Linked DNA regions of Rhinolophus ferrumequinum. The main gene of each other region encodes a partner of the protein of the gene in region 2 in a complex. Links are inferred from orthologs where the notes say so. Each region holds a gene or a part of one and is shown on either strand. Other genes may lie near its edges.

Evidence for each region.
Region 1: the proteins of MYBL2 (region 2) and LIN52 are in contact, whole or in part, in a crystal structure (PDB 6C48), measured with the Homo sapiens proteins. The link is inferred for Rhinolophus ferrumequinum from reciprocal best matches to the Homo sapiens genes MYBL2 and LIN52. Residues at the interface, in NP_002457.1 of Homo sapiens: Trp663, Val666, Ala667, Gly669, Thr671, Asp673, Gln674, Phe676, Lys680, Ala681, Gln683, Leu684; in NP_001019845.2 of Homo sapiens: Gln84, Ala87, Tyr88, Gly91, Leu92, Glu94, Ser95, Met98, Thr99, Lys102, Phe103, Leu107, Glu108, Lys109.

Annotation. Positions count from the first base shown.
Region 1 is NC_046289.1:24,300,855-24,308,784, reverse strand, and holds the start of LIN52 (protein lin-52 homolog), read left to right. Parts: upstream 1-4,924; 5' UTR 4,925-5,059; coding exon 5,060-5,090; intron 5,091-5,235; exon of another isoform or gene 5,236-5,394; coding exon of another isoform or gene 5,395-5,404; intron 5,405-7,930. Other genes in the region: ALDH6A1 (methylmalonate-semialdehyde dehydrogenase [acylating], mitochondrial), read right to left, coding at 4,452-4,499.
Region 2 is NC_046306.1:13,696,776-13,703,975, reverse strand, and holds the start of MYBL2 (myb-related protein B), read left to right. Parts: upstream 1-4,185; 5' UTR 4,186-4,380; coding exon 4,381-4,400; intron 4,401-7,200. UniProt on the Homo sapiens protein: Transcription factor involved in the regulation of cell survival, proliferation, and differentiation. Transactivates the expression of the CLU gene.

The DNA.
Region 1 (7,930 bases), on a different chromosome or scaffold from region 2:
CCACGGGGCACAGAGACTATGCATGCTGTCTTTCTGTCACCCAAGATGAGCCTCGTATATAAGTTCCCTTAAAAAACTCTTTATGGGGGCAGACAGGTAGCTCAGTTGGTTAGAGCATGAGCTCTGGGCAACAGGGTTGCCAATTCGATTCCCACCTGGGCCAGTGAGCTGTGCCCTCCGCAACTAGATTGAAGACAATGACCTGCCGCTGAGCTCCCGTGCAGCCGGATGGCTCAGTTGGTTGGAGCATGTGCTCTCAACCACAAGGTTGCCGGTTCGACTCCCGCAAGGGATGGTGGGCTGTGCCCCCTGCAACTAAGATTGAACCGAATGGCAACTGGACTTGGAGCTGAGCTGCGCCCTCCACAACTAAGATCGAAAGGACAACAACCTGACGGGTTCTGGGAAAAACACAGCTTCCCAATAAAGTCCTGGAAATACACACTGTTCCCCAATAAAGTCCTGTTCTCCTTCTCCAAAAAAATCGTTAGAAAACAACAACAACAAAAAAAACCTCTTTCTGTAATGATAGAATTATCAGACTCTTTGTTTGGTCTCTCAGCCCTTGGAAATTTTATGTAACACATCGTCAATCATGCCCTCCTTTCTGATCCCCCTTTCACTTGTCTTCTGTGATACCTGGTATCTCTTTTATCTCTTGGGCCACTTGTCTGCCTTCTTTGCTGACATTCTCTTCTACCTGGTCACATCGAGTTAGGTCCTCAAAGCTTGGTCGTAGGCCTTCTTCTCATTCTGCATACTCTCCTTGAGTGATCGCCACAACTCTGTGGTTTAATTACCTAGATCCCGATGATGCCCAAATCTCTCTCTTCAGGTAATACCCACATAACTGTCTTCACTATATCTCTATGTGGATATTATTTAGGCACATATTGAAAAAGCTGAACTCCTCATCTTCCTCCCATCAATCTGCTCTGCTTCCTATAGCCCACTTTTCAGTGAACGGGACTACTAGTCACCTAGTTGCCCAACCAGAAACCTGAATGTCACCCAACTACTCTGTTTCTCTTTATAGCAAATCAAACAAGTCCTGGCAATTTGTTCTCCCGTGTTTGAATACACCCCTTTTTCTCTACCCGTCCTGCTACCACCCCAGTCTACACCATCATTGTCTCTCACCTGGATTTCAATCTTAAACTTTCTGAATCTAGTTTCCACCCCCTAACCAGAGGGTCTTTCTAAAACACAAATCTGGTCAGACCACCCCCTTGTTTAAAACCCTCCAATGACTTGCCACCACCCTTGGGATAAAGACAAATGTTTTTGTTGCTTAGAAGACTCTACATAGTATCTTTACTTCTCTGGTTTCATAGGTTGCCACTTTCCTCCTTGCTCTATGACCCAGCCATTCGGAACATGTTTTGTGCTCTCTTTGTCCTTGCACATGTTGCTTCCTCTTTCCTGGAATTGTTTTATCCCATTTGCTTGACTTACCCCTACTCTTTTGCTCCCTACTTAGCCATCACTTGGGGTGTAGGTGCACGTCAGATTTGCAGGTTTGCTAATAGGAAGTTCAGGAGGTTCTCACTTGATCGTTTCCGCTTCCTCTGAAGTAGGAGAAACAAGGTTAACTCCTAAGAGTGAGCGAAATAACAGACTTGGAAGTTTTTAAGTCTCAATCTCAAGTCCAGGCTAAGAACCTGATGGTGCAATTCATAAAACACCTGAGTTCTTCTATTCCTCATACCACCTTATGGAATAATAGCTTGTTTAATTATTAACTCTGTCTCCCCTTCATACTAATAAATGATGCCCTTAGATCACTAGATGACTGTGTCCTCGGCCCCTCGCGCCATTTTTGGAATAGAGTAAGCAGTTAGTGATATTTTGCAGAATGAAAGAATGAGTACTCACCAAGCAATTGTTTGATATTAATTTTGTTTCATGTGTACTCTCTTATAGGGCAGAAAATGCATAGATCAGCCAGCTTGAGCATTCTAGGCCACTTAGTTTTATTTTCACTTGCACACAGCCTCCCTGCTATCAAGAGGGCATAAAAGGCACTGCATTTGGTATAATAAAACATTATCACATAGTTTTTGACAGGTTAGATATCCTCCTTTCTTTGTTTCATTTCCCTAGAAACAATCATTAGCACTCTTGCTAAAGAAACTATCCTATGCCTAGTCACATCTAACATCTTGTTCTCTAGATGTTTATTTCATACTTGGTATTTCCTTTACCAGGAACTCCCTTCTCCTCTTGGCTAAAGGCCTGCTAGTCTTGCAAGACTCAAGCCCAGACAGAGCCAACCCATTTTGGAAGCTTTCCTGAATTGCACAGGCTGAGTTTGTTTCCCAAATACCCTGTGCATTCTTATTGTTTAGCACTTATTACTGCATTACAATAGGGAAGCTTTCAGCGAGTATTTTATTTATCTCTCCTTTCCCAAAGCCTGGGGTAAGTGCCTGACACAGAAAGAGATGCCAAGACTTCATTTCCGAATTCAGTTACTAGTTGAGAGATTTTGGATGACCTTAGCCTTAAGTGTTAGGTAACTTACTTTATTATATCTGTTAATTCTAATCTTCACAAATATTCTTAAACTTAGAAAGTGGTGAAGCTGAGGTAGAATCCAAGTATGACTGAAGCCTGTACTCTTTCTACATCACTGAGGTAAGTCACTGAGACTCCCTAAGACTGGTTTTCTCAATGGGAGTGATAATACCACAAGGAGCAGAAGTTCTCAATTTTACTAGCCACCAAAACAGAGAAGACCCACTAAATATGTACTTTAAATAACTGAAAACATGAACTCTCTCCTTTACAGACCCTTTTGATAGTCCTCTAAAACTTACAACTGCCAGGATCTAGACTACTCTTTATCAAAGTTTCATGTTACAGTAACTATTAGTTGGCTAAGGATTACTATTTCTGTTCTTTTCTAGTTCAACTTAGAAGTTTCTTCACATGAATCAGAAAATAGTGTCTGTTTCCAAAATAAAGTACATGGGAAGGGAGATTCTTCTTCTTGATGCAAAAGACAAAATATCTTCTTAAAGCTGTCAATGACTCATTGTGACTGAGTGGAGGGGAAGTAGGCAAAAGTCAATTTCAGTCAAAGAGTTCATAGAGAAGTTAGTAATGGAAAATACTACCGGGTGGAAACTGATTCCCCATTGTGAAAAAAAGATACTAGGAAAATAAAACTAGGATCACAGCAAGAATTACATGAGTGAAGTCAGACCATCTGACAAACGCTTCCAACCCATTCTCCACACTATCCTAGTAAACAGCATATTTAAACATTAACCTCTGCTGACTCTGCTAAGAATCTTAAAAATGCATAAGTTTATGCAGTAGAACTCACTGAAACCTGATAAATACTATTATTATCGAAACGTCCAGCAATATAGAGAAATAAGTTCCCAGGCTGGATTAATGAGTAAGGGCAATGCTTTTTCTTGCAGGTTGGAGAACGTTGACTGCAGTAAATCTTGCCTCATGTTCTAAGTCCTTGCTAGGTTGTGAAGAACAGGGGAAAGGCCTTGAACAGTTAGAGAATCCCAGGCCTCAGGCATGAGCTCCGGTAGCTCTACCAGCTCTTCTAAGGCTGGCTTCACAGAGGACCCCACCCCCACACCCCATGGGCACTGCTGAGGGTGTGTTGGCCCACGAAGAGCTGACCTGGGGGCAGGAGCTTGGGACTTGCCCTTCTTGTCTTCCTTGGCTCCCATTTTCTATCACCTGTGTTAGAGATGTTTTGTTCCGTGCACGTACTTGGAACAAAGTAGGAACATAAATATGTGTCCTTATTTACCGCTAACAGGAACACTGTAACTTTGCTGAGTGTTTAACTGAAAGTCCTAGCAAGCAAGGGCACACTGCTCATGGCCTGTGGAAAATACAAATAACCAAAGCTAGGGAAACGGGCTTCTTTGGGGGGGAAACCTACTGTACACTTCTCGGAGGAGATTCAAGTTCATTCACTGACCCTCGCCCCTCATGTGCCTCCTCCCCACCCCTTAGCTCGGATTATAGACAGTGAAGTAGGGTGGGGGAAGGGAACAATCTGGACGCACAGGGCAGGTGAAGGAGCTCTAAAAAAGGTGACCAGAGGGGAGTTTCTGGGGAGACAGGTTTCAAGTACAGAGGAGATCGATCGGTTGCAGGTGCAGAGGTGAAAGAATGTGTGCGGCGACAGCGGTGAGGGCAAGAAAGTGTCACAGCAATAACGGGGGCAGGGCTGGAGGAGCGGGGTGGGCCAGAGCCAGATGAGGGGAGGCCCAAGAGTCAAAGGGTGGGGGGCTAGAGGGGTGACAGTCCTGGGCTGGATCCAACGAGGGCGGCTACGGAGTGAGGAGAGTGAGACAAGGGCCGCACAGGTAAGATGGGAACAGTAGGGTGGGCCAAGAAGTCGTGGGCTCAGAGAGTGGACGGAAAGGACACAGTTCCTAGCTTCGCGACCCCTCGGCGCCACCCTCACTCGCCTGCAGGATCCGAGCCCTCACTGCCGCCGCCGCCACTACCGCCGCCATGGTTCTCAGCTGCCTCTTCTCCGCCTCGGGGTGCCTCTACCGCCCGGGACTCCCAGAAGCACACGGCTGCCAGATTTCGCCTCTCCATCCTGCCGCACCTCCTCATTGGTGGAGAGGACCAGCCAATCACGCGCCCTAACTATGACTCCACTCCCAGTTGGGAGGACATGTGATTGGTCAGAAGTGAAAGATCTCTCGGCCCTCTCCCACCTCAGCAAATTCTGTTGGCAGAGGCAGGGAAGACGCCCCTGACTTGAGTACTCTATATTCAGCACACAGGGACGACGCCCCCTAACCGGGAATCCCGATTGGCCACCGCGATGACTGCGGCCCCACCCCGTCATTGGAGAAAGTAAATAAAACCCTCCAGTAATTTTGCAGTCGCTCCACCTCATGCAGTGCGCGAGGGGGTGTGACCAGCGCTGGGGGCGGGGTTAAGCAAAGATTGCCCTATGGGCGGGGAAATGAGACGGGACTGCGAGTTGGGGATTGGGTTTCTCTTTGGGGGCGTGGCTTATGGGTCCTAGCTTTCCCGCCGACGGTTGGCCACGTCACGTGACATGGGTTGGAAGATGGCGTCTCCCACAGACGGTAAGAGCCGGCTCGGCGATCCTTCACCTGCAACCTCCTTTGCTCCGCTCTCCGTCTGCCTCTCGAACTAACACTTCTTTCTTTGGCTCCTCTCCTTTCTCTTCCACTTCTCTTCCTTGGGATGCGGGTGCGTCTTCACATCGCCGATTTTTCACAGCGGCTCCGAAGGTGCCCTGCCTCCCTGCTGTGTACCAGGAGGGTAGAGGAGGGTACCCGCGAAGGTCCCACCACGGGCCTTGCCCTTCCTTTAGCCCCATTTGGGTGGACCTGAGACCGAGGAGGAGATACTGCTGGAGGGAAAGAGATGACTTACCGTATGTAGCTTTCTCCTTCTGTGGCGCCCCATTAAGGGTCGGTTCTCTTACCTTTGATCATCTGGAGTGATTCTCTCAAACTCTAGCTGGGATTGGTGGCCGACCTCATCCCGGGACTGAAAAGGAAGGAAACATGATTCTCTCCTATCTCCCCAGATTGATACCGTTGCCCTGGCAGCAAGAGAAGTGGGAGAACTTCTCGGCCACTCGCCCTGAGAGTCCCCAGGAAAATGAGGATTGAATTTTTTATTGCAATCTAGCACACGCCTCAACTTGTCTTGCTTCAGCTGTATGTGTTGTTTCCTTAAGCTGAATGAATGAACGATTTCTGTTTATATACTATTGTCTAAGACGCATGTCATCTCAGCAACTAAGTGCTCATGCTCTCGATTCCCCTTTAGAGAGTTAGAGTCTTGTAGTCATTTCTGAACTCAGTTTTTCCTTCCACTGCCCCCATCCCCACGTCCATTTCATTGATATGTGATTTTTCCCTCCTCAAACCAACACATTTTCTGTGTGGAAGGAATCTTAGAAGTTCATTTCAGGAATGAGGAAATTGAGGCCAAGAATGCTAGCTATATCAACTACCTGCTGTATGAAAGGCATAACGCTAGGTGCTTTGGGAGAGGAAAAGATTAATCAAACATGTAAACACTTGCAGTTTCAGGTCTCATTTGAGATGTTGCCTCCCTGAGAGTCTTTCCCAGAACACATTTACCCCTCTTCACCATTGTTCACTATCTCAGTATCTTCATTGTAAGACAGTTATTCTGTTAACTTTGCCCCTTTCACACTAGATTATAAATTCCAAGTCTGCCTTGTTTATAGTTGGATCCTAAGGGCTTAGCAAGTGTCTGGCAAGTAGTAGGCCTTCAATGAACATTTATTGAAAGAATAATTAGGTATATACATAAATAATATATTACTTTGTCTTCAGTTTCAAGTTTAACTGAGTCTTAAGTTTTTTGAGTGCAGGTACAGACTGTATAAGAAATTATGGGTGTTCAGAGTCAAAGGAGATTCTTTTTCCTGCCTGGGTACTCTCTTGTTAAAATGTCCTTTTCTTGCCAGAAAAAATGTTGGGGGGGGGGGTTTATTAAAAAAGTCAGCCAAGGGAATGGGGAGTTACTGTTTAATGAGTAGTTTCATTTTGGGAAGGTGAAAAAGTTCTGGAGATGGATGGTGATGATGGTTACACAACATTGTGAATGTACTTAATGTCACTGAACTATACACTTAAAAATGGTGAAAAGGGTAAATTGTATATTATGTATCTTTTACCACAATTTTTAAAAAAAGTCAGCCAAGTGATAGAAGTAGAAGTAATTGCTATAACAATTTTTATTTTATTATAAGGTTATTTTTAGATTTATACGTTTTGGAGATTTTAGAGCTGTGTTCGTTGTGTTTCATTTATCCTTGTCTTAATTTCTTTTTCCTTCTTTGGCCAGGAAGAGTATTAGAAACATATTTTTTCCTTTGGTCCATCTCCATTAATTATTTGCACTCTTAATTTTTAAAAGTTTTCAGTCTCATCTTTTATAGAGTTTCACCCTTCTCCACATAAACATTTTTTAAAATCTGACAAAATCAAATTGAGCACTTTGAATTTAAATTCAGCTTCTAAATAAGTATCTCATCCTGAAACATTTCACTGCCTAGCGCTCTCACTTTATTTTTAGTGTTCTACTTATCTCTGTCTTTAAATTTTAATTCAAATAATAATGGTTTGTAAAAGTTTAGGTAATTTACTCATTTGTCTTTTTAATGCTAAGTTTGCTGGGACTTCTTTGAAAAGGAGAAAACTGAAATCAAGTAAAGCCATCTAATTACTGAATGTATGAGAGTAAATCTCAATGCAGTCTGAGTTATGCCCCAAAGTATGGTATCATAAGGCCATCCTTGTTGATTACTGGATCCTACTCCCAATAAGTGTATTTTTGTTATAGTTGAGCTTCTCATCATAATATCCCTTAGGAATTTGAAAAATTGACATTTTGTGTTACACACAGCTTTTCTTTGTTACCATTTTTGGAATGCTTTAGTTATTTATTCGAGTTGAGTTCTTTACCAATTAGAATGCCATTGGAAATTCTCTTAGAATATTTGGGGGGAAAATTCAGTTTATAGAAAAGCATATGTTGAAAAAATTAAGACACATATACATTTTCAGGGAATAGGTCCATAGCTTGTTTTTCTTCCAGATTTCAAAAGATGTGGCTTACCCAGAAAATGTTAAGAGCCACTGTTTATATCATTAAATGAACTAATGTATGTAACTAGTTAGCATACTCAACATACAGTACTCAATAAGTTTTAACTTGTTATTAGGTTGGTGCAAAAGTAATTGCAGTGTTTGCAATTTTTTTTTTTAACTTTTTAAACCTCACTTACTGTTGCACCAACCTAATAATATCCAGTACCTACTGTGTGCCCAGACAAGAGTGGAGAGGAAATGGTGTCAAAGAATTAGGCAGGATCATATAGGATTTTATAGGGCCTGGTAGGTACACATTCACAAATTTA
Region 2 (7,200 bases):
ATTAATTTGGAGCAATTGGTTATGCAGCAATAGATCACTAGATACCTACAATTTAGAAGGAACTTTTTGGATCTATCTGAATCGAATACAAAGTTTCACTTTCCAAAGGGGACACAGAGGCGTAGGGAGCCCTAGGGACAGAGGAGCAGTGACAGGCCTCCGACTAACCTGGGGCTTCTCCCACCACTCCTAACTGGAGAAGGTGCCTGGAGCGGCAAGGCCTGGATAGCCATGGGTCAGCTGGCTTTTTCCCTTCATCTATGGATGCCTTCTGGCAAGGATGTGTTTCCCCCAGCTTCTGATGAAAAAATTGAAACAGGAAAGTGGAAAGACTAATACAATAAACACCAGTACCCACCATTTATTTTCAAAAACTAACATACTGCCATATATGCTTTATGTTAATTTTTCTTACTGAACACTTGAAATGAAATCGGATATAACACTTTACCCCTAAATATACTTCATTCTATAACTACAATATACCATTATGACGTACTATTTAATGCTTATTCAAATGCCTCCAAATTGTCCCCAAAGTATGTTTTATAGATGTTTTTTTCAAGCCAGGATCCAGTCATGGTTCACACATTGGATTTGTCTCTAGTCTGCCTACCTCTTTTGTTTCTTTTTTTAATGGCATTGACTTTTTGATGAGATTAAATTAGGTGTCCCTCACTCTGGGTTTATCTGATAGTTTCATCATGGTGTCTACTAACTTCTCCCTTTAGCTCCTTTATTTCTTGCGAACTGGAGGTTAGGTTTAAAGGCTTGACTAGCTTTCAATTAAACATTTTTGGCAAGACTATTTCATAGGTGATGCTGTGTATAATACGAGGTCAGATTGGACCTCTATTAGTGAAATGAAGTTGAATCACTTGGTTAAGGTAGTGAGCAGGGGTGCTTTAAATTCAAACGTGAACTATTAATATAAGAATGCCCTTTAACCCCAGTTGCTGTTCACCTATGTGCACGAACTTTTTCCAGCCTCTTGAGATGAAAAAGTTAACTGACTTGAACAAGTGTTTCAAGTTCATTCTTAAAAAAAAAAAAAAAGTTACAGTACTAGTCCTAGCAGGTAACAGCATAATTTTATTACTGGAGATTTTGTTGGAGTAAAATACACCTCTGACTGGAGAAGCATTAGTGTCAAAAAGAAGAGGAGATAACAAAGAGAAAGGGGAGATGTGTGTTGGTGACAAAACATCTTTTTCTTTCCCTAAGAGCAAGGAGGAAATTTTGTGGTATCTTATGATTCATAGATCTAGTTGGCTTTCCTTAGGTTACTGTTCCCTAAAAGGTCACAGGGCACTACATATGCCTTAATGAAATTTAAAAATTTCTTTAAATAAAAAAATTTAGGTAATAACTGAAAACGGAACTGAAGGATGAAGAGAAAGAATTTCACCCTCTTCAGGCATTCAGTTCCCCTTCGTGCAACCAATATTATCAACTTTTTTTCTCCGCCTTTAAGAGACAGGAAGAAATACACACTTTAAAAATAAAAATCTTGCTTATGCCAAATTTTAACATGAAGCCTACTGTTTCACCCCAGGGCTGCGCTCCTGCAGGCAGCCCATAATCTAATCCCGGAGAGACATTAACCTCCTAAGAGTAGAAAACGGTGACAAACAGCATAAAGGAAATTTGCAGTGTTAGGGGCTTGTCCAGAGCTGCTGACGCACACGGGGAGTCATCAGGGGAGGCTAGAGGCAGAATGGGGTCTACAGGGCTCCGGGCCGGGGGCGATTACTAACCGCGAACTCCTGTGACCGCCAAAATGTCAGAGGCCGAAGATGTACCCTCCCTGCTCCCTCTCATCCGCGGAGCTTTTCTTCCTCCGCACGACCCCAAAAGGCAGGCGTCAAGGGAGGTCTCCCAGCGACGATGACTCGGGGGGCGCGGGGCTGGCGGGATCGAAGGCAAGACAGTTGCGGGGGACCAAGCTGCCGAAACCCGAGAGGCTCCAAGCGGACCCCGAGCGCAGGCGCCCCCTGGTGACGTCAGGTAGCGAAGAGACTCCCGCGATGCCCCGCGCGGTGCCTGAGTCGGAGCGCGCGCGCCTGTAGTGGGTGCTTTGTGGGCGGAGGCGTGGGACCCGCAGTCCGACAGCACCGGGTCTTAGGCCTCCGTTTCCTTCCGGGCGCCTAGAACAGGTCAAGTCACTGCCCCGGGTCGTCGCGGGCGGCGAGAGACTGATGATGCTTGTGAGAGTACGTACAGTGTGCCAAGCAACTTCCTGAACCTCAACGGACAAGCATGAGGGTAGCTGAAGAGTAATAATAAAAATAATAACAACTAAAAGTAATATAGTACTTATTATGTACCACGGATTGTTTTCAGTGGTTTATACATTAATTTATTTAATCCTACAACCACCCGACAAAGTAGGTACCAGTGTAGTTAGTGATTGAGAGCATACACTGGAGAACTAGACAGCCTAGGTTTGAATCCCTGCTTTGCCATTTACTAGCAATGTGACATGGGGGGCGGGGGGTGGAGGGGGACAGGATACTGTGTCTCAGTTTCCCCATCTACCAAAAGAAGATAATATTAATACTACCTAATAGAGTTGTTATGAGGATTAAATGGATTAAAATTTGGAAAGCATACAGAACAGTGGCTGGCACATAAGGAAAAGCTATCTAAGTTTTTGAAAAATCTTATTTTTACAGGTGAGAACACTGATGCACAGAGGAGTTAAGTAATTTGCCTAAGACCACACAACTACCGTGTTTCCCTGAAAATAAGACCTAGCTGGAAAATAAGCCCTAGCATGATTTTTCAGGGTGACATCCCCTGAACATAAGCCCTAATGCGTCTTTTGGAGCAAAAATTAATATAAGACCCGGTCTTATTTTCCGGGAAACACGGTAGTAAATGATAGAGCCGGGAATCAAACTTTAGGAAGTTTGGCTTCAGAGCCTGGACTCTTAAATACTATGGCCTAGCAATGAAAACGTGATGTCCATATGAATTACTTTATGAGGGAGGTGGGTGACATAAGCGCTGAATTAATTGTTGTGGAAACTTCTAGCACTTAAGACGTCAGCGTTCCTTCTGCGGGAAATGAGGTTTACACCAGCTGGCAGGACTGTCCCCAGGGGTCCAGCAGTTTCTGGAAGAGGGGTCTGAGGCATACGCAGGGGCTAAGAAGGTGGGGTTCAGCCAGGTCTCCCCAGGCTCCTGTCTCAGAGTTCATTTACCTTGCTTTCAGCACTCGTCCCAGGGAGCAGGGTGTGGAGGGTACTTGGTAAATGGCAACTTAAAATGGAAAATCCTTGCTAAGCCTCTAAGAGTTTAATCACCTGAGTGGGAAACAGAATTCAACTCCACAGTTGAATTCTGGGTCTTGGGGATCCTGTGGTGAATGCAGGGGCCACTTGGACATCAGTATGCCTACAGTTCAAAGGGGAGACGCACAAGTTTATAAACAGATTGTGGGCAGTGAACCCCAAGGATAAATAGGAAATAGTCAGGTGGGAGGGGCAGGAAGTGTTCCTGGCCCAGGTAATGGCCCAAGCAAACGCAAGGAGCCCAGTAAGTTTCCTATGGTAAGGGGTGAGGTGGTGATCTGGCAGAATCCTATAAACCAGATTAAGGTGCATTTTACTCAGAGAATGAGGGCAGAGGTTTTAAGTTCTGGAGAGGCTAGATCAGTTTTACAATTTAGGAGGATCTCTCGAGCTGTCAGGAGTCCATCCGAGGAGCCAGAGCCCCTGAATTCGAGGCTGGAGAGGAAGCAGGGAGACGGTTCTAAGGCACAGCCCTGGTTTAGGTGAGTTGGCCACCTTGGGGCGGGGAGGGGGGTTCTATAGACCGTAGGAGCAGCTTGGAGTAGTCCTGGGGTCTTTGCACGGATGGTATCCCCAGCCTGATTTTCCCATCCCTGCGGCTCACTCCGTATCCTTAATCTTGGCTGTGTGGGCTACTCCTTGGCGGCTCTGATTCACACATGGCGTGAGCCTCAGTCACTGGGCAGCGTGTTCAGAGCCCTGTCTCCCAAGGTGCCACAGGCCTTGTCCTACCTGCCCTGGGACTTCAGGGCTCTGGAGCTGTGCGCAGCCGGCCTGCCTGCCTACTGGGCCGGGGCTCAGCCCCGCCTCCACCAGGCCCCGCCCCCAAGCCCGCCCGCCCGCCAGCGCGCCAGGCCCGGGCGGTGCCGACGCGCTTGGCGGGAGATAGGAAAGTGCTTCTGCGCGCGCCGGCGGCAGCTGCAGCTCCTGCGAGCCGCGGTGGGACCTGCGGGCACGCTGAAGCCTTCCAGCGCGGCCCCGAGGCCCGGAGCGGCCAAAGCAGCCCGCGCTCTGACCCCGGCCCGGCTCCCGCTCCGGGCTCAGCCGGCGGGCAGGCGAGCGCGGCGCGGCCCGGGCCGGGGGGATGTCTCGGCGAACGCGCGGGTGAGCAAAGCCAGGAGGCTTAGGTCCCCTACCCACTCCCCAGGTCCCATCCTCCTCCATCCCGACCCCTGCTCTACCCCCATCCTCATCATAGTCCCTCCGAGCGGGCGGGTGTGGGGGTTTCCCGCGGGAATGCTGAGTCCTGGGCCGCCCGAGGCAGGGGGCGCGCGAAGCCGGGGGTCTCTTTGGGCCCATCGTTCAGTTTCCCAAGCCTGCTGGGCCTCGGAGCCGGGGCGGGCGGGTCTCTTGGGCCCTGGGCCAATCCCTGCATGATGTCATTTTGCCTCCCGCCTAATTTCGGGTTGGGGGTAGGACGGCGGTGTCCGCTGGAAGAGCCATGACCGGGGAGGGAGGCGACCCCTGGAGAGGGAAAGGGATTCTCTAAGTCACAGCGCGCGAGAGGCCAAACCTGGAAGACACTTGTCGTTCAAGCCTCTTTGGGTTCAGATTTGCTGGTGGGCGGTTTTTCTCAGCATTCGGGAAAGTACAGAGCACCCCAAGTCCTCTCCCCGGCCTAAGAAGAGTGCCGGGGGGTGAGGAGGCCCTCTTTTGTCCCCCACCACCTGGGATCGCGGCCCCAGCTGGGTTGAGTTTCAGAGACTTAACTGCTCCACATGAGGAGTTTTGGGCAGCTGGAGTTAAAGGTGACGGACGAGGAAGAGAGACTGATGTGTATCACGACCTCTCTGTGCCAGCAGCCCCTGGGGCCCAGGCAGGAACTGCGGTCTCCATTTTACTTATTCCCCTGGAGAATAAGTGGTAGGGTTGAGCCTGAGACCGGGTCTGTGGGCTCCAGGTGCCTTTCTTACACCTGTGTGCCTGGGGCTTGAGCTCTGGGCTTTTCAGCCAGCCTGGGAGTCAGGGAGGACAATGAGCTCCTGCCCTGTGCCCTCCCTGGATTCATGCAGCCCAGATAACCTTAAACCCCTCTCTGGATGGTGTTTGCCTTCTCAGGCTGAGGATATCGACTTGAAAAGCACTCTTTGCAGGCTTTCCCCAGAGTTCTTTTCAGCACAGAAGCATCTGATCCCTGGGCAGTGGTCAGGGTGCCTCTTCCTCAGGCCACAATTTCCTAGGTCAGCTCCACTCCTCAGGAGTTCTCTGGTCAAGCACTTGTCAGACCCTTTCCTGATTTTTGGTTCAGGGAGTGTTACTCCAAGGAGCCATAAAAGCCAGGCCTTCTGCCACTTCTCCCTGGGGCTCAGTGTAGGAACCCCCTCCTGCACTCTCACCCCACAGCCCTCCGCTTCATCCTTGGCCACTTGCTGTAACTTCTCTGCACTGGTGCCCCACTTCCCGCTCAGCTTCTGACTCACCCCACCTGGAGCAGAGCCCAGCACATCCAAGGGTGTAGAATGGGTGTGTTGGACCTCCACGTGGTTGCCACCACTGACTTGGCTTCTGCCTTTTCAGCTGGGATTACTAGGGGAGAACTTGAAAGTGTAGGTTTGGAGCCTCGCTCAGTGGACTTGGCAAGTGGCCTAATTCCAGGGAGCCTCAATTTCCACATCTATTAAGTGGGGATAATGAGAATGCCTGTGAAGTGGATGGTTAGCACTATATTGGTGATAGAAGTTTATCTCAGAATTCGCCCAGCTGAGTTGTTGGTCCCATTAAGTAGAGTATCAGAGCATTAGAAAGTGTAGAAAGACACTTCTTCATCCTTGAAGGAACATCTGCTGAGCGTCTATCAGAAGTTGGGTGCTAGGGAACCAAAGGTAACTGTCAGAAAGAGGTCTGGGGGTAGTTGATTTTAAAGCCAGCTTCATTCATTCTGTTACAAGTATCTTGTAGAATTTTTGTCTCCTACTTTGCAATGGAGGACCCCATGAATTTGGTCAGGAATTCCAGCTCCTGTGACTAATGTATTGCTGGGATTAGACACTCTTAGACCCTTCCTTTTCTACTTCTAAAAATTTTATTTTAATTGCTATTTCTTATCTACTAATAGGCAACAGCTTTGTGTGTTTATTCATTCATTTCAGTACCGGGCATTCCCTGAGCAAACATTTAAGATCTTTTGATACCAATCCCCTAAGGCTCTGCAGCTGTGGAGGTGGAGCTGACCTCTGTGTAGATGTCAAGGAGACAGGTAGCCTAAGGGCCTACATTCTGAGCTAGGAGGATTGCCAAGGTGCCCTGGGAGCACAGGGAGATACTGACTTCTGGAGAAGGGGAAAGGAAGTTGAGAAGGAAGCCCTCTTCCTTCTTTTCACACTGGGCCTGTACTTGCCTTGCCTGTTTGGAGAAGTGTAGGCTTTTCTCACTTCCAAATGGCTGACTTAGGAATGTACCTGACTGGTGACCTGACACAGGTCCCACTCACCACAGGGAGTTGGGAGCTCACTAACCGGGGCACACCTGACATCACTGGAGGTGGATAATCATTAAACCTGATGAAGATTTTAGAGCAACTTGGAAAATTGCCTGCTAGAAAATAAAAACATCAAGAATTCAAAAAGTTGATTTTTCTCTCCATAAATTATGCCTGTGTGTTCCCAAGGATTGAGAGGGGATATGCAAAAATGGGCATAGTTAGTAAGATAATGTATTTTAAAATGTTTTTCCCAAATAACCAATATTTCTTAAAATTCTGGCACTTGATGATTGCATATGTCATCAGCTTCAATCCTTAGACTATCCATGCAAGTTTACGAAGTTTTGTCACTGAAAAGAGAATATTAAATGGGGGTCGGGTTTTGAATATCACAATATTCTTGGTGAAATCTCCACTGCTTTTTCTCTTGTAGCTTTTGACATCCTGTTCTTGAAAATAAAGAAGACAATAAAAGAGCCCATA